Solanum lycopersicum: one gene and its partners. The protein of the gene in region 5 binds, or shares a complex with, the protein of the main gene of each other region. Links are inferred from orthologs where the notes say so. Each region holds a gene or a part of one and is shown on either strand. Other genes may lie near its edges.

Evidence for each region.
Region 1: pheophytinase, chloroplastic (region 5) and chlorophyll(ide) b reductase NOL, chloroplastic share a complex: the UniProt entries of both Arabidopsis thaliana proteins name them as parts of the SGR1-CCE-LHCII complex. The link is inferred for Solanum lycopersicum from reciprocal best matches to the Arabidopsis thaliana genes PPH and NOL.
Region 2: pheophytinase, chloroplastic (region 5) and probable chlorophyll(ide) b reductase NYC1, chloroplastic share a complex: the UniProt entries of both Arabidopsis thaliana proteins name them as parts of the SGR1-CCE-LHCII complex. The link is inferred for Solanum lycopersicum from reciprocal best matches to the Arabidopsis thaliana genes PPH and NYC1.
Region 3: pheophytinase, chloroplastic (region 5) and red chlorophyll catabolite reductase, chloroplastic share a complex: the UniProt entries of both Arabidopsis thaliana proteins name them as parts of the SGR1-CCE-LHCII complex. The link is inferred for Solanum lycopersicum from reciprocal best matches to the Arabidopsis thaliana genes PPH and ACD2.
Region 4: pheophytinase, chloroplastic (region 5) and coenzyme F420 hydrogenase_dehydrogenase beta subunit-like share a complex: the UniProt entries of both Arabidopsis thaliana proteins name them as parts of the SGR1-CCE-LHCII complex. The link is inferred for Solanum lycopersicum from reciprocal best matches to the Arabidopsis thaliana genes PPH and HCAR.

What each region holds. Positions count from the first base shown.
Region 1 is NC_090804.1:48,920,182-48,923,694, reverse strand, and holds part of chlorophyll(ide) b reductase NOL, chloroplastic, read right to left. Parts: intron 2,887-3,513; coding exon 2,825-2,886; intron 2,007-2,824; coding exon 1,908-2,006; intron 1-1,907. UniProt on the Arabidopsis thaliana protein: Required for chlorophyll b degradation. Chlorophyll b, chlorophyllide b, pheophorbide b and pheophytin b can be used as substrates. Belongs to the chlorophyll catabolic enzymes (CCEs).
Region 2 is NC_090806.1:26,308,415-26,312,692, reverse strand, and holds the start of probable chlorophyll(ide) b reductase NYC1, chloroplastic, read right to left. Parts: upstream 2,809-4,278; 5' UTR 2,344-2,808; coding exon 2,074-2,343; intron 1,999-2,073; coding exon 1,920-1,998; intron 1,841-1,919; coding exon 1,705-1,840; intron 1,642-1,704; coding exon 1,567-1,641; intron 1,495-1,566; coding exon 1,299-1,494; intron 910-1,298; coding exon 841-909; intron 274-840; coding exon 134-273; intron 1-133. UniProt on the Arabidopsis thaliana protein: Involved in chlorophyll b degradation. Belongs to the chlorophyll catabolic enzymes (CCEs).
Region 3 is NC_090802.1:10,423,460-10,427,529, forward strand, and holds the start of red chlorophyll catabolite reductase, chloroplastic, read left to right. Parts: upstream 1-1,263; 5' UTR 1,264-1,330; coding exon 1,331-1,663; intron 1,664-4,070. UniProt on the Arabidopsis thaliana protein: Catalyzes the key reaction of chlorophyll catabolism, porphyrin macrocycle cleavage of pheophorbide a (pheide a) to a primary fluorescent catabolite (pFCC).
Region 4 is NC_090808.1:67,936,188-67,940,220, forward strand, and holds the start of coenzyme F420 hydrogenase_dehydrogenase beta subunit-like, read right to left. Parts: upstream 2,803-4,033; 5' UTR 2,780-2,802; coding exon 2,704-2,779; intron 2,556-2,703; coding exon 2,453-2,555; intron 1,259-2,452; coding exon 1,174-1,258; intron 942-1,173; exon of another isoform or gene 823-941; intron 1-822. UniProt on the Arabidopsis thaliana protein: Probable iron-sulfur flavoprotein that converts 7-hydroxymethyl chlorophyll a to chlorophyll a using ferredoxin as a reducing equivalent. Catalyzes the reduction of a hydroxymethyl group to a methyl group. Belongs to the chlorophyll catabolic enzymes (CCEs).
Region 5 is NC_090800.1:78,700,346-78,704,341, forward strand, and holds the start of pheophytinase, chloroplastic, read right to left. Parts: upstream 2,804-3,996; 5' UTR 2,507-2,803; intron 1,977-2,506; 5' UTR 1,942-1,976; coding exon 1,219-1,941; intron 870-1,218; coding exon 643-869; intron 350-642; coding exon 158-349; intron 59-157; coding exon 1-58. UniProt on the Arabidopsis thaliana protein: Alpha/beta hydrolase dephytylating specifically the Mg-free chlorophyll pigment (pheophytin), yielding pheophorbide. No activity on chlorophyll. Belongs to the chlorophyll catabolic enzymes (CCEs).

The DNA of each region.
Region 1 (3,513 bases), on a different chromosome or scaffold from region 5:
GGAAAGAAGCAAGACTCACGGAGATCACATGGAAGCAGTATCAAGTACTAATCAAGACCCAGTGAAATTACAGAAGTGGCAAAAGAGATATTTGGAAGATTAGTAAAAATAATACAACAGCAGCCTCTTGGATGAGTTGTCCCTTATTGTTGGAAAGGAAATCAATTTCCCTTATCAAGGATCAAATCCTTAGGGTTGCCCTCTCTGCTAATGAAACAACAGTCCTCATATAATCAATCATTGAAGACCAAAGACTAACATACGTTTGTATAAAGCCTCCTCAAAGTGCATTGTTCTACTCTTAACAAGCATTGTAATTCTTAAATGGTTTACTGTGTAATCAAAACAGAGAAGAGAGGAAAAATATAGTTGGTGAGGCATTGTGTCAAGAGAAAAAAAGATCGAGTGTAGACGTAGGATTAAACCTTGAGGGACTTGTACTCATCAACTATTCAAAGTACTTGCATAGAAAATCCCTTGCAACCCAAGGGGACTGGACTAAAATCCACATTGGATCCCAACCGGTATAAAAATACCCAGTGTCATTTACTTATTGTTTTATAACTTGCGTCATCATTTAATTGCCAGTCATTACAGTTGAAGCTTTATTTTAAGAGGGAACCTCTCAGACAAGGCCTCCCTACTCCAATGGGAAGTACTTCTCACACTAGAAGGTCAGAATGGGAACCTACATCAAGTCATATGGTGTAATGGTCTGGAGGGTGATCAAATTGGGAGACATTCCCATACCTACAACTAAGAGTGATGATAAGGAATCTGGAAGCAAGGAAAAAACAACAGAAATTGAAGGAGCAATTGATCTATCAAAATTGGTGGACAAAAATAATACATGACTGGAAATTATTCAGGTATAATCTTAAGAAAATATTTACTATATAATGCAATCAGTGGTGAAGAATATCAAAAGATCACAAGTGGTGAAACTGCTAAAGAAATATGGGATAAGCTAGAAGTGACCTATGAAGGAAATGGCAAGTCAAGCAGACTATAGTCAGCCTTCTACTTTATGAGTATTATTCCAAATAAATGAAGGAGAGACTAATGAGGAATGTTCTCCCGACTGAGTAAACTCATTGGGGAACTAAAAGCCTATGGAAAAACCTATCCTACTTGTTAAATTAGGCCTTGGACCTAGCCCTCACCCCAAAAGCTAGCTTAAAGGGAGGAGAAGGATTGTCTAAGCATTATAAGGAGTACACAAATCTCATTAACCACCATATAAAACTTTTTTCATCTTTAACACTCACCTCATGCCCAGTGCTTAACATCTGGTGCGTGGGCAACTTTTAATTTTAGAGGCTCAACATAGGGTGAGATGGGTCTTGCTCTGATACCAAGTTAAATTAGATGTTGGGTCCTACCTCACAACCCAAAAGCTAGCTCAAACGGAGGACGATTACTCAAACCTTATCAAGAGTACACCCTTCTCATTAAGCACCAATGTGTAACTTTTGACATTCTTTAACACTACTATTAATCACATAAGGATTAAGGAAGGTACGCAGAAGCCTACCTCCTCAACGACATGCCAAAGATGTTGCTTTGGGAAGCATTAACCTCAAACAATACCCCTTGTGATGAACTAAGAGGAGATTTGATAATTGAATGACTTTGTTGTCCCAAAAGAATAAGTAACTTTCGTAGGTCATTTCCATAAGTTGGGTGAGGAATTAACTCTAATATTTATTATGACTTTGCAGCAGTTCAAACAACTAAATTTATGGATTAAGTACCAACAATAATTCTTGAACAAGCAGTGACATGAAAGGATAAAAAGAGAACATTTACAATCAAATCAGAAAGGGAACTGGACTTCTGATACAAAGAACATTGAGAGTGTTTGTGACCTTATCATCTTAAGCAAATTAAGGATCCAGATTAGATACCCATATGTCGATGTATTGAAGCTTTTCCTTCGCAAAGGCAACTAAGTTCTTCACGTCATCTCCCTCTCTAACATCACACTTGGTGCCCTGCATAGGGATCTGAATCAAGCATGTGAAGACAAAAATAATGCTTAAGCTAATCATGTAAAAGAAAGGCCATAACACCTGCAAGGGCCAGTAAGTATATTTACAGACCCTTGGTTTACTTTAAAGACATAATAATATATAATTCTAAACTACATATTAGGCAGAATATGGCACATCTTCAGCTTACCAAGGACATGACTTTAGATAGGAGGATATGGAGATCATGGATAGACGGTATGTAGGTATAGCTGGGAGTTGTCTTATTACTAGCCCATTCATGTATTTTTCTGGGTGGAAGTGTAGAGCTCCGTGCTGGTCGTAGTATTAGCATATTCATTAAGTCTTCGGTTTTTGGTATCCGAGATCATCTGTGGTTTACTGTGTTTAGGTAACTGCAGCTTGTTATTATTATGGCTCCTTGCATTGATATGCTCCAACTGCTTTGATATTAACTGTCAGTTTTTTTTTATAGTTAGTGTTTTATTTGCTTGAACCAAAGGTCTTACAGAAACAGTCTCTACCATGGAGAGTTAGTGGTAAGGCCTGCGTACACTCTACCCTCCCCAAACCCCACTTCTGGTATTTCACTGAGTTTGTTGTTGTTGTTGGTTTTTACTTTACAACCTTCCTTTCAATAGAACATGATTCAGGAAATCAAAAGTTCAAGTCAATCGGTAGGCATGAAGCCCAAAGTTATGTTAGTCATTAGCGAAATAAAATACTCATCAATCACCATAGAACCTGATTGAAGACGAAACTAGTGATGAGTACACAGAAAGAATCAAAGAATGACTAAAGGTCTATAAGAAATGAAGTGAAAATGGAGGTACCCACACATGCTGCTTCCCTGTTTCAACTCTTAACCTGTCGAGAGCAGATACAACTCTTTCATCTGTCAAAAAAAATGGTCAACTCTAAAGATGTAATTACATTTAATTCTAAACTACATATTCCAAAGAAAGTTGTTTCTTTTCCATTCAAGTGTAGGGAGATGAAGAGCTAACATAAAGAGAGTGTGAGCTTTAAAGCAATAAAATAAAAAAGAGAATGAGAATACATCCCCATGAGTTACAAGATAACGAATGGAAAAGAGAAAATATCACTGTATCAAGGTACCATGCAAAATCATCAGTCTTATGTTATTGCAATTATGGTTAGTTCAGGACCCGGATAAGACTCATCAAGGTAGGAGAGCAGCAATTATTGATATATGACTCCATAGAGATCAAACTAGATCATGAATATGCCATCCCTCCCAATCTTCCATTCAAACTTCAGCAGATCTCCTCCTTTCCTTTGTTTTCTAACTTCAGCAAACTCTGCTCCTTTCAACCCATATTATCTCCAATTAAGTAGCAAGATTCCCATTATCTCTATTCTAATAAACTGCATCCATTGCTTTCACTACTTCCTTAATTTGCATGTATGGCACTTAATGTCTCTAGAGATCACTAACCCAATGCCTGCAACTTTTTTTTTCTTCCCACAAGCTGTAGCTTCTTAGCTTTCGTTCCAAAAG
Region 2 (4,278 bases), on a different chromosome or scaffold from region 5:
CTGCAGAACAGTAAAGATGATAACACCGAAATCAATATCCATTAGAAAAGTATTAGATGAATAAATGGTAAAGATCTGCTATTTACAATAGATAACCTAGCATTCCAAGTTACAACCACAACAATCAACTTACACAGCTGTTAGAGGGGTGCTAGATCCTCCAGAACCTGCACCATCCATATTAAAGACATGTCCACCTTCGCTTTGGGTTTTCATGATTTGGATGGCTTCTTTAGTGCATAGTATAGAACCAATCAGGTTTGTTGAGACAATCTGTATAAAAAAATTTGGTAAGCAACAGACCAGAAATACTTACTAGAATATTAGCTTACCCATCATGCAAGTACACACAGCAGATAGTTGATTATTATATGCACATGGAGTGTTAACTTGAAAAGGTCAACAAGCATGAACACCTTGCTATGCATGACGAAACGGGGAAATTTTCAAGTAGTAGTTAAAAGAAGGCATTAGTACATATTGATGGATAATTCCAGGAAAACGGAAAGTTAAAATGAGTGACCTGGTATATAAAGTATACAAACTACATATAGGTGTTGGGGGGACGGGGAAAATAATTTGTTAACAAAGTTCTGCAACTGAACAGTTAGAAAACCCACAGTGCATACACCACCCACCCTTCCACAAGAGAGGGGGGAAAACAACAAAAGCAGCTCTTACTTGACAATTTAATATACCCCACCCTAATACCGACCCACCCCCGATCCATCTTCTATTATATATGCAGCCTTGAAAGCAATTATTTTGCAAGAGTTTAGAAATGGAAGAAGTTGTAGAGTATCAACATAAACATATGAGAACTGTCAACAACATGGATACCTCTTGAATATCATTGTCGGTGAACTCCAGCAAGGGTCGAAAGCCTTTGTTTGTCCCAGCATTGTTTACCTATATAAAAGACAACCTTTAGAAGCATGAAAACAGAACAACAAACCAGGAAAGAGGCTGTTTTTCCTCACAAGTCCTCTGGATGTGGATGACTGTATTTTCTACTCACAACCCTGTAGTTCTTGTCATATGTTGTGTATTGTATTTTGATTATCCTACTGTTATTGTTTTTCTCTTGACACTTCCAATATTTTCTCTCCTTTTACTTGGGTTTAATGCTCTTGAGTCTAGGGTCTTCTCGAGACAGTCTCTCTACCTCCTCGAGGTAGTGGTAAAGTCCAAGTCTGTGTACACTCACTCTACCCTCCCAAACCCCACTTTGTAGGATTTGACGGGGTATATTGTTGTTGTGGTGGTCTTTTGCTATGAAGAAAAAGAAAATTACTCACCCAAATGTCAATATAACCAAGTTCATCTGCAGCAAACTTGCCCAGTTCTTTAACATCAACAGGTTCAGAGACGTCACAAGCCATACCAACCAGTTTTGCATGTGCCAACTTTAGTCTAGCAGAGCCGGTGGCAGCATTGACAGCTTCCTTCAGATTTTCCTCAAGCTCCTCGATAGTCAAACGGACAGATGCCGGGCTGTGTTAAGGAATGATGTATTTACAAGAGATGCTAAACAAAATAAGTGGATGCAAATAATCAATTAATTACCTGCGGGAGGTAACAATGACCCGATCTCCAGAAAGTAAGAATTCGCGGGCAAGAGCTTTCCCTAGTCCCCTTGTACTGCACCAAAAAATAATTAAAATGGTAATTACAAACAATGAAGGTATGAGTAAAGTATTATACCTTCCAGTTATAAGGACATTACGGGGGCCAGCTCGAGCAACATCATCCAAAACTAAATTGGATCCTATCATAGTGCCGATAATAATTCCTCCAAGCCAGCTGTACCATATCAATTCATTCATCTGGCTATCTCCACCTGTAACAATTAGAATTAGTTGTTACCAATCAATCCATGCCTTAAAAACTTTCAAAAGATGATAAATGAATTTGCTAACCTGACAACTGAAACCCAACGAACATGACAACACCTGTGCTCATCATTGTTATAATATATCTTCCAACATATAAAGCCAACTGCAAGATTGGAATACAAATTTAACTTTTTCCCATTCTCAATTGATGTTAAAGATGTGTAAGAAACATATGTACCCAGAATAATCTCTCTTCCAACATCTCCATAGCTTCTCTAAGCTTATTTTCAGTTCTCAAACTTGGCTTTGAACAACTCCATACAGCAGACCTAATAGCTCCAACCAACTTGTTCACCTTCACATACTCAGCATCATCAGACTTAAAGCTCCTGCAAGGTTGTACAAAAACTCTACGTCGTCCATGAACCTTCACAATCGAAGGCCGGAAAACATTACTGCTCGGTAGTAGGTGGTGCGTTGACACGTGTACCTTCGCCACCATGTCCATTTATTATTTTAATAAAAATAAAAAAGAAAAATGGTGCACTTTTTGTTTTGTTTTACAAAGATCTATATGAATTTTATATATATGCAAGGAAAGAGATATAAATATCCAAATTTTTAGGGATTTGGATTGTGTGACTTGAAATTTTCTCGGATCTAGTCTACTACAAAAAGAAAATATCTAAGGAGTTGGAAGGAATTTGATTTTTGAAAGATCAAAGGGAAACCAAGTTGATGACCACACGTTAAAGCTACTCTTTATCTACACGTTTCATCTGCTACGTGTCATTGTAGGTCCGCATATATATTACCGTCAACATTATCTCCTTCTCCCACTTGTGTTTCAAAAATAATCAAAACTTCAATTCTAATGTGTTTAACAAAAATCAAATACGCAAGTGAATTGTCTATTTGAGTTTATTCATGAATTCTGTATGTATATTTCTAAGATAATATGATCCATTGTGGTAGCTATGTACCTACTTGTTTGGGCATTTAACATTATCACATTTTGAGTGATTTTTCAACACTGTTTGGTTATGGTATAACTTGTCTCTTGTTCATGTATAAAATAATGTATTAAGTTATGCAATATTTAGTAGAAATTCTTGTTTAGGTAGAAAAGTCAACATAACTTATATCATGTTTGGTTGCATTTTTGTAGTTTTATATAATTTATATCAACATAACTTATGAGGGAATCTATGTATAAAGTTATGTAAGGTAGAAAGTAAAATAAGTTATGCGGGTATTATTTATACATGTATTAAAGTGACAAATTACATATTTACCCTATTAATTTATTTTATTGTTTATAATTAGAAATTTTATTGTATTCCTATATTGTTATTGTAACTACCCGCTAGGTCGTTTTGAGAAGTAGGACTAGTTTGGCTCCTTTTGAAAATTTAAAGGGTTATTTTTAAGCTTTTAGATAACTATGAGTACCTAATTGATGAAACTTTTATTAAATAAATAATTAGATAATAGATTAGTGGAGTTTCACGATTAATAATTTCTTATTTAGAAGAAAAGAAAAAACGAAAAGTAAGGAGGCGAAACCTTATCACAGGCTACCAGCGAGAGGGAGAAAATCACAGCCATTGTTCAGGTAAAGATATGAGATATTCGTTCTTTTCAATTCTATATATAGTAATATATTGTCGGAGTGTTTGGGATTGTATTATTATTCTATGCTATATTGATAATGGGAGAATTGGTGGAGATGTGGAAAAAAAAACCAATCTTCTGCCAATGGAGGCATTCGCGATGTGTATGTTGTTAGCACTGCTCACGTTTCTTCGGAATCCTGCCAAGAAGTTAAGGCAGTGATCAATTTCTTGAAACCAGAGGTTGTCTTCTTGGAGTTATGCTCAGGTCGGGTGGGTATACTCACACCTCAGAATTTAAAGGTACCAACAATGGGGGAATGCTTTAATTGGCATGCAGAACAAATAGCACAAAAAAACGGGAAAAGGGGAGGGGCGTTCCACTTCTGCCAATGGGTGGAAATTTTGTTCACGTGTATTCATATATTAAAATGCTAGTTTTTAATATATTGGGACTGGTAATTAATTATTAGGTGTTATTTTATATGATCTAACATTGAGTTTTAGTCCATTTGAAGAGGTTAGAGTTAAGTTCTTGGCTTGAAATTTAGCAAGTGTGAAAAAAAATTGGCATACCAATATATATCAAGATTTGGAGTTTGTTGAAAATATGTGTGAGTTTTAGCGTCTATGATAGACATATAATAATTTGAATGTCTACAAAAAAATTGCTTACTTACGAATATTGAAAAATTGGTAGATTGGGAACGTTCCGAAACCTTGCGAAAAGGAAAGGAAAAATCTTAAAAGATTCGTGGCACAAGCTCGGCATCTAAGGTATGTTAAGACTTTTTAGACTTGTTGAAGGACGTTTTCCTAATTAAAGATTA
Region 3 (4,070 bases), on a different chromosome or scaffold from region 5:
GTTTGTATAATTATCCACATTCGTATAATTCACAACTAACAATTCTTTGTTTGATTTATATTTCTATACGATGATTTGTATTTGCATATGAGATAATTTCCTTTGGTTTCTCAGTTTTGTCACTTTATATATTCAATCTTTTTGTGTATAGCTTTCAAAAGTTTGTATAAACGTGCACTTTTTTTTTATAATATAATTTATTTAATGTAACTATTTAAAGTCAATAAATGTATATTTATATCAATTCGTTATTTTGAGGTGTTTTTTTTCATATTTGTATAATTTTAAACTTAATATTGCTCAATCATGCAAAAACACGGAATTATACAAAGGTACCCACGAATTATACAAACGAGATGCGAATATACAAATTATTGCCCTCTCTCACTTGCCTCTCTCCTCCCTCTCCCGATCTCGCTTGATTCTCTCCTCTCTCTCCCAATCTTGCTCGTCTCTCTCCTCCCTCTCACAACCTAGCTCGCTTCTCTCCTCCTTCTCCCAATCTTACTTGTCATATATACAAAACCTATATGAATAATATTCAATTATCTAACCAATATACATACACAATTTACCTCTATCCCATTTCTACCCTCTCTCCTCCATCTCTCAATCTCGCTCATCTCTCTCCCTCCTCTCTCAATCTCGCTTGCCATATATAGAAATACATATGTATAATACACAATTATCTACCTGATATACATGTGTAATTCACCTCTCACTCTCTCGCTCGTATCTCTTATCCCTCTCTCAATCTCTCTCGTCACTCTCTTTCTCTATAACATATAGCTACGAATTGTAATTAACAAATTATAACTATGAAGCATAATTAGGCTATTTTTGAGTGAATATATGCAAAGTTCCTTTTTATATTATGGACCAATTCAAGTTTTTTAAAACTATAGTTATAAATTTGATAAAATATAATAATTTTCATAGATATAATTGATAAATTAAGAAATGCATTAATTTAAAGTCAAAATAAATTCATATTGCGAGAACAATCATTATATGAGATACAAACCGTTTAAAAAATCATGATAGAAATTATAAATTTTATTTACATATGAAATAAATGACTGGTATATATATATATATATATTGTATTTTTAAAAATCAGAATTTTGAATTAGGATTTAAAATACAAAAATTTGATTAAAATAACCATGTTTAAGATATGTTTAATCAAATTTTTGTATTTTAAATCCTAATTCAAAATTCTGATTTTTAAAAATACAAACGACAGCGTATTACATGGGCCACAGCACGTGATGTTCGTTTGCTTCCCAAAAAGCAAAGAGATAGCAGTGAACATGACAGTCCTCCTGCTATGGCTGTTCCACTCTCCTCTGCCAAATTTCACACTTCAATTCTCACACAATCACTCCCCTCTTCTTCCTCTCGTTCTTTTTCCGTCGGAAAACGCTTCTGTTGCTCGTCGTCATCAACTTCCATGGAACATCATGAATCGAAATTTAAGGAATTTCCTTATGCATCTGTTCCGCATAGAGAGTTAATGGTGGAACTTGTATCGACTGTGGAGAATCGTCTTGGAGAGTCTCTACTTCCTTGTACTCTGCCTTCTCATGTGCAGTATTTTGAGAATGAATCTGCTACTGCTCATGCTTCTCTCTATGTCAGATCTGGAAATTCCTCTTCTCAGGTACTCTCCGACTACCTCCTCAATTGATTCTACTATTTATTACCTATTCATTCGTTTTTGCAGTTGTGTCAATTATATGTAGTATGATATAGAATTACTTCCTGTTGGATGTTTTGTTGAATTAGTATATACAGGGTGAATAACAAATCTATGGACAAAGAAATTGATTTTCATAATAATAAAGTGTGATACCAATAGTTTAGAACCCTTATTTTCAAGGAAAAGTTTGTCTTGGGACTTAATGACGACACTGAAGTGCACATTAAGCGAAGTGGTCAACATGTGTAAGCCTTGCTTCAAGGCTTGAGCATGCATAAAGTATGCAACCAAAAAAAAAACGCCAAGAATTTTCTCCTAATGCCCTTCAATATGAATGAATACACTACTATCTTGTACATAGTGAAGTTGATAAAGAAAACAAGAAAATTATTATGTACTATAGAATAATGATTGAGAAAGCTAGATCTTGTCATCTTATTTTAGTGGATTTGGCTTATGCAGAAGAGTTAATCCATTACGCATTGTGCTTTTTGTAGATTGTCCTTTTTACTATGTATGCTAATTCTTTTAATAGAAGTAACATGAATTGAAATGCCAAATACTTATCTGTATAATGTGGTGATGGGAGTTAAGAAGATCAGCAAATGTATTTTTGGTTTTATTCACCCAATGAAGTCAGACAAGATTTTTATCAAATCTGTTTCCTTTGAGCTAATTTCAAATTGAGTATTTCTTGTTCAAGCTATATATCTTGCACTTTCTAGTAAATAACAATCCATTCGTTACAATTAAAAAATATATAACAAACAAAATTCGTGAATGTGCTGCAAACTCCCACTAATATTTTAATAGTTTGCAGTTTGTTCTGTGAAATACATCTCAACTAGTTTTTCTGTGATCTTGTCAAAGTAGTTTGATCTCTGCTTGTTCCCCATTCCCTAGCTTCAGGAGCTGTAGGGGGAAAATTCATATGATCTGCAATCTCACCTTCTCACCATTACCATTCCCAACTTCAATATCTGGCGGCACTGAGTTTCCCATCTGAATAGGTGCTGAGGTAAGTTGTGAACTAGTATCCAATCTGGAACAATAGAAGTTTCTTGCTCTGGTTTAAAATTCTGTGCACATCTCAGGATTTCATAGTGTATGACCGACCCAATGTGAATGAATGACTTGAAAAAATGTTATTGAAGTCTGTTTTGTTACAGAAAGTCAATGTAAATAGTGTTGTAGTTGTAGTACCCAATCTCGACTCTTCCTTTCAATTGAAATTGACTCACAAAAATTTTCCTTAGTTCTTTCATAGTAGGTTCCTTTGATAAATTTACCCACAATAGTCATTTGCAATTATTAGCCAAATTCACGAAATAGTCATCAGCAGAGAAATATATGGTTGGCTTTCCGAGATGAGTCTCATGCCTAATTTCAACAGGAGCTTCGGCGATTGAGGCATTGGCAAATCAGCTTGAACCTTTCTGTGAAGGTTGGTTTCGATGAAGTAGCACCCTTTTACCTTTCCCTGCTAAATTGGGATGTTTCTGTTGGAGTTGAATATTGGGGTTCTGATTTATCAGTGGCAACAGGGTTATGATCAGTTCCATTGATGTTGGTCGCGTCATCCGATTTCAATTTTGAAGAGGGTGTGTGAAATCTGAGGACACCTTTGGCTGAGGGGTTAAATGATTTTGGTGGGTGGATTTTGAATGGGTAGTATTTTCCTGTTGAGGTGTTGCATGCGTGATCTGCAAAAGAGTAGGCTGAGTGTTAATAGCAAGTTGGAGGTTCTGGTGAACTGTTAGGGGCAAGCTTTAGGAGTTTATTATTGTCCATGTGTTGTTCCTCTGAAGGATTGGAAGAAATAGGGGATGATGTTTATTGGTGTTGTGGTTGTTGGTGCTAGAAGGAGTTGATTATTGTGTGTTTGGGATTTTTCGGCTGGATTGGTTCAAACTAACCATTGGGGGTTGTAGGAGAGCGGGTGCGTTTTACTGAGTTGTCGGTGTAGGAGAGACTGCAGTTGGTTGAGATGAGTATGGATTGAATGTATAACTAGTGTTTTAGGTGGGTTCCGATGCACAATTGGTGTTTGCTGAAAAGATCAATAGATCTTCATAGAGAGAAGCTAAGAGAGTGTGCATCCAAAATTGACCAACCAATGTAACTGCTCGATTTCAAGAATTATCCTTGTTCATAATTTGTAGTTCTCTGCAAGTTGCATTCACCTGATGTCTTCTTGGGGAGTTATACATAAGGACTGCAAAAGCATCAGGGAGATAGCAATTTGGATCTGGCTTCTGTTCATTTATTCTTATCCAGTTCCATTCCTCCGCTTATAGTTAGTCATTCCATTGAGAGTTCTTTGACAAGTCCATTTAGTGTTCTTTTTCTAATGCCTATAATAAAAGAT
Region 4 (4,033 bases), on a different chromosome or scaffold from region 5:
GTTGAGAACGCATTCCAAGGAACTGCTACTCGTAGCAAGCACTGAAGTTTTTTAGTGAGTAATCAAATCATTCTTTCTCATAAAAGAACTTACATGCACCCCCTGTCACCCTCCACCCACCAGTCAAACTAAAGACGGAATAATTTTCAAACTTTACCAAGTTCCTTTGGACAATAACCAAAAAAAAAAAAAAATTGTATAGAATTGGGGAAAAAAGTTTGACCTGTCACGAGATTACGTTGTACCTGTAAACTATGCTAAGCTGTATGAAATTATTAAACAGAAGGTAGAAAAAACAAAGAAAAGAGAAAAGAGAAGAGGACAGATGTACACCATAGCGAAGACTTTGATGGAGGTCTATGAATGTTTTCCCATCGCCCTATGAGGAGTCTGATTAGAGTCCGACCATACTGTGTTTCAGTATAACATTATCAACCCCATAAATTTCAGTATGTCGAGATTATGTTAACAACTAGAGAAATCATTCTTATGAAGATCCACTATACGTGTCTTGTACCTTGTGTAATTTATAGCTCTATAATAATGCCTAAAACTTCATTTATTCCATATCTTGTCAACATTCAAAGCAGCATACCTTTTACCCAAGAGAGTGAAACAGAAATATAAAATTCAAACATGCTTGTCAAAAGAACTAGTTGGGGTCGGAGGCGAGGACCAGTGAACCCATCAAGTTCTAGTATGCAACTTTTCCTAATAACAAAGTGTTAAAAACTCTCATGCTCCCAACAGAAGGGATTTTAATGGAAGTGGAGTGACCAAAGAAAGATGAATTCAATTGCACACGAGCTAATAGTGGATTACACGGTCTCAGAGAACATGAACCAGTACTCTCTCTGAGCATCTTTCTAGCTTGCAAACTTTTCTTATGACTTCCACAACACACTGCAATATCACAGCCAAGTCTTGTTTCACTGCATACACTGTACATATTCATAAGATGTAAATCCATATGGATGAGATAGCTTTTCAAAGGACACAAAAGACAAAACAAAATTCACAGGGAAAATCTGCATGTGACAATGAAAGCATGCAATAATCAAACTCCAGTAGGTCATTTATGACAAACTTAAGGAACAAAAACTAGGCATAAACAATAAGAACTGCAACTAAAAGCAACAGTATCTACATGTACTAAAGTAGAGAAAGACTCACTTCAACTCTAGACATGCCATCCCCCAAGAAAGCACATGCATTATTCACATGAGCAATGTAGTAAGTGTCACACAAACCACAGTGGCTGCAAACCAGAAACAAAAACTACCATCAGACAAAAAACTACTATAATGATTACGAAATAGTCACAAAATATACAAGAAATTAATTTAAATAAGTATGAAGATGAGTGATTAAATGATACTAACTTATAATCCTCAAAAACATTGAATTAGTATATAAATAATGTTAATTATTATTTACCAATTTCAAAAAAAATGCTAATTAATATATATGATATTCTTGTGAACGTCAAAACTTATATTTCAGTCTTCCAAACAATACTTCATCATTCAAGCTCCTTTTTTTTCCATTCTACAAAATTTGACCCAACTTAGGACGAATTGATATGGAAAGCTACGATGCTTCAAAGACCCAATGAAATGCTTCCTCCATTTCAAATTGAATACTTCAGGTTCTTTTTTATACTTCATGCCAAATTAATGCCCAATCTCCCTCATATTTATAGTTCTTTCACATTTACTATGAAAATTGAACCATTATAGTTTCCGAAAAGGGAGAACTCTTCAAACACATATTAGTTTAAGACACTCTCTCCGTCCGGTATTGTTTGTCATGGTGTCTATTCATAGAGTCAAACTATAAAAACTTTGACTAACATTTTAAGGTGTATTTTTTCATCGTATTAATATGCAAAAAATTGCAATTTATAGTACTTTTCATATAGTTTTAAAATATCTAATTATTTTGTTTAAAATATCGAATTAATGTGATTTAATTTAACTTTGAAAATTAGTCAAATTGACTTTCAAAAAACACAACATGACAAACAATATTGGACGGAGAGGGAGTGATTCATAAATAGACACCTTAACTTTGCTTAACTAACAACTAAATACTCCAACTTTAAGAATGCACATCTAGACGGTCTCCGAGACACCCGGCACTATATGTCTAGATGATCATTTTGTACGTTGGGAGTGTTTAACTCACACAGCCAAGACCAGTTAAGATGCACACTTTGAGTGTTCAGTTGCCAATTGAGCCCAACCTAAGATATCTATCTATGTATTTATGTCATAGTTTAAAGATAACAAATAAAAATAACAACTTTTTCACTAGTCTAACTTACAAAAACTAAAAACTTCAAAAAAAAAATACATAGAAAAATGATCAAGCTACGCAATTTACCTCCCATTACAGCATTAAAAGCTAAAATTTCAATTATATTAAGAAAAAAAAAAGCAGAATTATGAACCTGCAGTGGTCTTTAGCTGGATAAGTCCCACCAGGAGGAATAGGTCGAGATTTTTTCCTCCAATCTTCTCTAATTTTCACTGATTTCAGGTTTTGGTTTGCATCTGTTGAGTAATTCAAACAACATCAACACACAAAGTTTCAATTTTTTTTAAAAAAAAAACTCATAGCAAAAGTTTGTCATTTTTTGTAAAAAAAAGTTCCTCTAAGAGGATTTTGTTCAGTGAATGTAGAAATGGAGAGAAACAAAACCTTGTTGTTGTGAAGAAGATGAAACAGTGTAAAATTTGAAGGGTAAAGTAGAGATTTTTCCAGTAAGAAACGCCATTGTTGCTCTGTGTATCTGCACAAGTGTTTTGCGCCACAAATATATATCAAATGAGATTCTTTTAAGGGTGGAACCAAAACGGTGTCGTCCGGTATTTAATTAATTTCTACTTTTTATTTTTTTGGATGAGTAAAAAAAGTGAAATATTAAATATTTAGAAAATTAAGAAATAATTTTAATTATTTATAAACAATGAATCGCTGAAAGTGATTCGAACGAATCCTTTTGGTCCTACCTAGCTTTGCTCCTGAATAAGTACTCGATAACATATTGTGTTGAAATTTTGATGAGATAAACAACACATACCATATCATTTCACTGAAGTAAAATCATATAGTCGTTCATATGAATACTCAAAATAGGGTGGCTTTTAATTTTTGTTCGTCGGATCAATAGTCTTTGAAAATACAATCGTAAGGCATATGTTATGTCATACAAAACTTATGCCTCTGTAGACATAAGTTCAATTTCAAAACATTATACCTTAAAAAGTTCATAAAGTCACAAATTATATCTTATAAGGTATAGACGTAAGTCCTACATAACATGTCGATGGGAGTATAAGTTCCATTTTCAAAACTTGGAAGATTAAACCTAGAGAAGTTCATTACTCGCTATATCTTATAAATCATAAGTCCCGTTTACAAAACCAGCAAAATTGAGAAGTTCATGAGTCACTATATCGGAAAAAAAGTGGTGGTTTAATTGGAGCAGCCCATCAGGCATTAATGGAACTTGGAAGGCACCGATAACGATATAAATCATAAGTCCCGTTTACAAAACCAGCAAAATTGAGAAGTTCATGAGTCACTATATCGGAAAAAAAGTGGTGGTTTAATTGGAGCAGCCCATCAGGCATTAATGGAACTTGGAAGGCACCGGTCCGTTATCCTTCCACTGCACAAAGCGGAAGTTTTTCGTTGCTCTGTGAAACCAGCCTCACGCGGTCCACCCCACTTTAGGAATCTAGTAGCCCATTCTTTCAATTGGACCACATGATCCAACTCTGTGCTTGGATAGGGCAGGCCAGAAATTAGCCCACCAAGCCCAGCCATCTGGGACAGCCCAATATTCCACCACCTTAACATCCCCACTTGGGTTACAAGCCCACGTTACTAAGCTCGACATACAATATTGCATCATAGATTATTATAAAAATAAAAAGAAATATGTCCACTAACGATGTGGGAATTGGAATATTGCTTGTTCTCTATAAACAAAGCATATACTATTTTGAAAATATAAAGTTTGATT
Region 5 (3,996 bases):
CACCCAGGGGTCTTCTTTCCCGTAAATGAGACAGACCGGTACATTGTTCATTCGACACCTAGATATAGCAAGGTGAAAGATTTCAGCTTTGTTACTGTATAAGAAAACATATGCAAGCCAAATGACACGGCTATGTAATACTACTTGCTTTACCTACCCAGTCAGTGCCTCTTTAAAATTTAGTTGTCCCTGAGGAGCGAACATTATTGAAGCAAGGGATGCAGCTGCTGCAGGGTGTTCTGTTACCTCAAGAATACTAGAGAAAACTTTATCTACTTTTGTGGTATGATCAGCGTAAACTTGTTTAAGCACCTCTGCGATACTCTCGGGAGCACTAATTTTCTGCCATCTACAGAAGCATAATGAAGCGTACAGACGGATAAGTTTGAGAACCAGACAAAACCCAAAAACAAGGATACAATCCATAATGTCCCTCTATTATATGATGAAAGAACATCAAATTATCCAAGAACGATTCATTTTTTCAGCATAAGTTGCAAAATGTAACAACACATCATTTGGTCATCGTCTTGATGCTAACCAATATAAAATGTATAGCTGGCAAGAAGATCCTATTACTCGGTATATAAGTTTATAGGATCAGGAAACTAAATAATCAAAACAGAAAGTCAGGGCACTTACACAAGTTCTGTGAGCTTTCTGATATTGGAGGGCAGAGGAAAAGTACCAGCCCATGGAAATAATCTAGATAATCTCGGAGATCTAACAGGATTAGGAAGAAATCCCCAAAAAGGCGTAGCATTCAGCAAGGTTACACCTTTCACTAATTGAGGGTAGTATGCAGCAAAGTAGAGGGCAACATATCCACCAAGTGAATTTCCCACAATGTAGACTGGTTCCTTAATAACCTGCATCACCAAAGGATACAAGTTTATAGTTTGTTCCTAGTAACCAATCAACAATTTGGAAACTTATTGAGAAGCCCATCGTTCCATAGCCTAAATCGAACAAAAATAAACAAGTAGTGCCAAAGGAACATTATTCTGGCATACTATAGCAAATTGTCAGGACTGCAACTGTAATGTACTCATAAGCCTTGTATGAATATTTTTAGTTTCATCTTCTAGCATTCATTACGAGCCAGTGTATTGAACGAACATGAATTTAAAAAACTAGCAATACATCAATGACAATGCTTAATCTACAGATCAACCAATTTTGAGGGAAAAAACACAAGGACAAAGATAGAAATTGTACCTCTTCGATGAAATAGCGTACTTGCTCCCTCCATAAGTCAATAGAATAGACAAGTTCTTTTGCCCAAGGTTCTACTTCATCCCCCAAACCCCAGAGAACATTGTTTCCATCACCTTCCGATTCATTTAATCTTTTTGACCGCGAAGTTGGATCCTCACTAGGTAATGACTTTCCCTGTCCAATAAAATCCAATGCCCATATTCTGTTATCACGACCAAGATCCTTTAGCTGTTTTTCATAGTGAAAGGAACCAACACCAAAACCAGGAAGAAAAAGTATTGGCGCGGAGTTAACATTTTGACATCCAGATTTCTCATAATGAACATTCAGTTTTGGCTTCCATTCCCACAAACAGCTATCAATCACAGCAACAGCATCGCCTTTAGCTTCACTTGGTAAACTAGGAATCATAACCTTTGGTACTGATTTACCTCTACTAGTCACACCTTCTGTACCGACTTTCCCATCCACGACATCTGTGTTATAGCTTTCATTCAAGAGACTTGAGTCAACAACACTGTCAACCCCCTTAACAGAAGCGACAGTGCAAGATCTCCGCTTCCTATTTTTCTCTACGCTATAAACATCTAAACCAGAACACAATCTTCTTTCTTTTAGTCTAGAAAACATTGTCTGATTTGAAATTAGGCATTTTTGAATCACATTCGGTTTAACATTTACAACGCAGTAATAGGGTGTCGAATAGAAAGAACAAAATTCCATCCCAGAGTCAGCTTTCTAAAATCTAAAATGAATACCTGAAATCAAGAATACATTGAAAACAAAGCATTTAGGTTGTTATCAAATACTAATAAAATACAGGAAAGTAATGCAATCAACTCAACAACAATATAGTAATTTACTTCTTCACATCTAATTATTATTACTTGGCTAATAAGATAAATCAACTAACATCATATTCTTCTACAACAACAAAAAAATTCAACCTTCATTTTTTTTCATGATGTGAACACATTTATTGAACCCAATAACTCTGGTTCAAACTCAATTTTTTTTTTTTCATTACAAAAATCCATTTAATATGTACAGTTATTAATTTAGAATTCAGTAACTCAAAAGATCTAAATCCCAAACTACAAACTTCAAATCCTGAATCTGTCAATAGATCAACCTTATCTGGAAAACGAAAAAATTGAGCAAATATTGAACCTTACTTGAAAATTCTACAACTTAAACATCCAATAAAAGCTAAAAATCAATAACCTAAAAGACCATTATTTCACAATTCCATAACAAACTAGAAAGAAAAAATTGAAAGCCAACTAACCTTTAATCAGTTTTCTAAGATAATTATGAGCAAAATCTCCAAGAGCTTAGGAGAAGTGATATGGGATTTTAGAATTGCTTTTTCTTATTCTTTTTAACATTCAGTTAGTTATATATTTCTACATAAATCTAGAGTCCAGACAAGAGATTGCTTAAAAAAGTGGGATCTATTTAGAAACCAAGAAAAAATAAAACAAATGACGATATTTAACAAAATGGTAGATTTGGGCGGTCTGGTCATGCGATATAGTATCATGATATGAAATTATGAGATGCAATTAAAGTTTTGTTTAGATATTCGAGATGAAATTTTGATATTGTATATTCTTACGTAATCGTAAAAATCTCATAAGTTTTCTAAAACTATTAAAATTGCTTCAATTGTTTATTCAATCTTATCAAATTAAATAAAAAATTATAAAATTGCATAATAAATTATTATAAAATTATTTGTTCTCCACTTAAGTAATGTTTCAATCTAAAAATGAAGCACTTTTCACGGGTTCTTCAAGATTTTATTACTCAATGATCGTGAAGTGTGACCTAAAGTGACTATATGTTGGTGTGAACAATAAATTTTAAAATGTAATGATGTAACTATAATTTTATTTACATGTAAAATAAATAGTTAGTAGATATAAATGTAGCATTGTTTTAACAAAATATAAACGTGTGGATTAATTTTTGTATTAAATATCTCAAATTATGATATGATATTCCCATATGATTCCATATTATGATTTCTAGAGAATATGAAATCATGAAATAGAATTAATGTAAAATCGCATGTCTAAATGCTGATTTCATCTCACAATACTATGATATCATATGGCCAAATGCCTACTTTAACTTATCATTATTATAAAGATATTTTTTATGTATAAAAAAGTATTTTAAAAAAATTATCATAAAAAATCATTCGCACATTACTATAGTAATTTGTACTAAAAAATTGAGGTGTACTCAATAGGGCCACCTCTGGTCAATTTTTTCAAACTTTTTGGCGTTACATGTTATTTATATGGTTATTACTCATTCCAGGGTGTTCACGACTCTATTAGGTGAGTATTTTAAAAAATGTCTTTTGAAAAATAAAAAAACATGTTTTATGAGTTTTATTTTATAATGATCGATGATTTTTTCATTCAATTCCTATAAAGGTACACATGTATAATATCTAAATGACGATAATATATTAATTTGTGCATCCTTATACACAAAAGCTAATCTAGCATGGTGGTTAAATTCTTGTCTCACACCACTCCTTCGCTAGCAACTGTGTCCCAAGTTTAATTCTAGTCACTACATTTTTGTGTTTTTTTTTTTTCAAAATAAAAATTGCATCTAGCAACTTTTATGTATATGTGATAAAAATCATCAAACCACACAATGAACTATGTTACTCATTTGTTTGATTTATATTTTTTGAGTATATACTTGTTTGGCAATATTATTTTACCACACATTGAACTTTGTTATATTTTTGTTTAA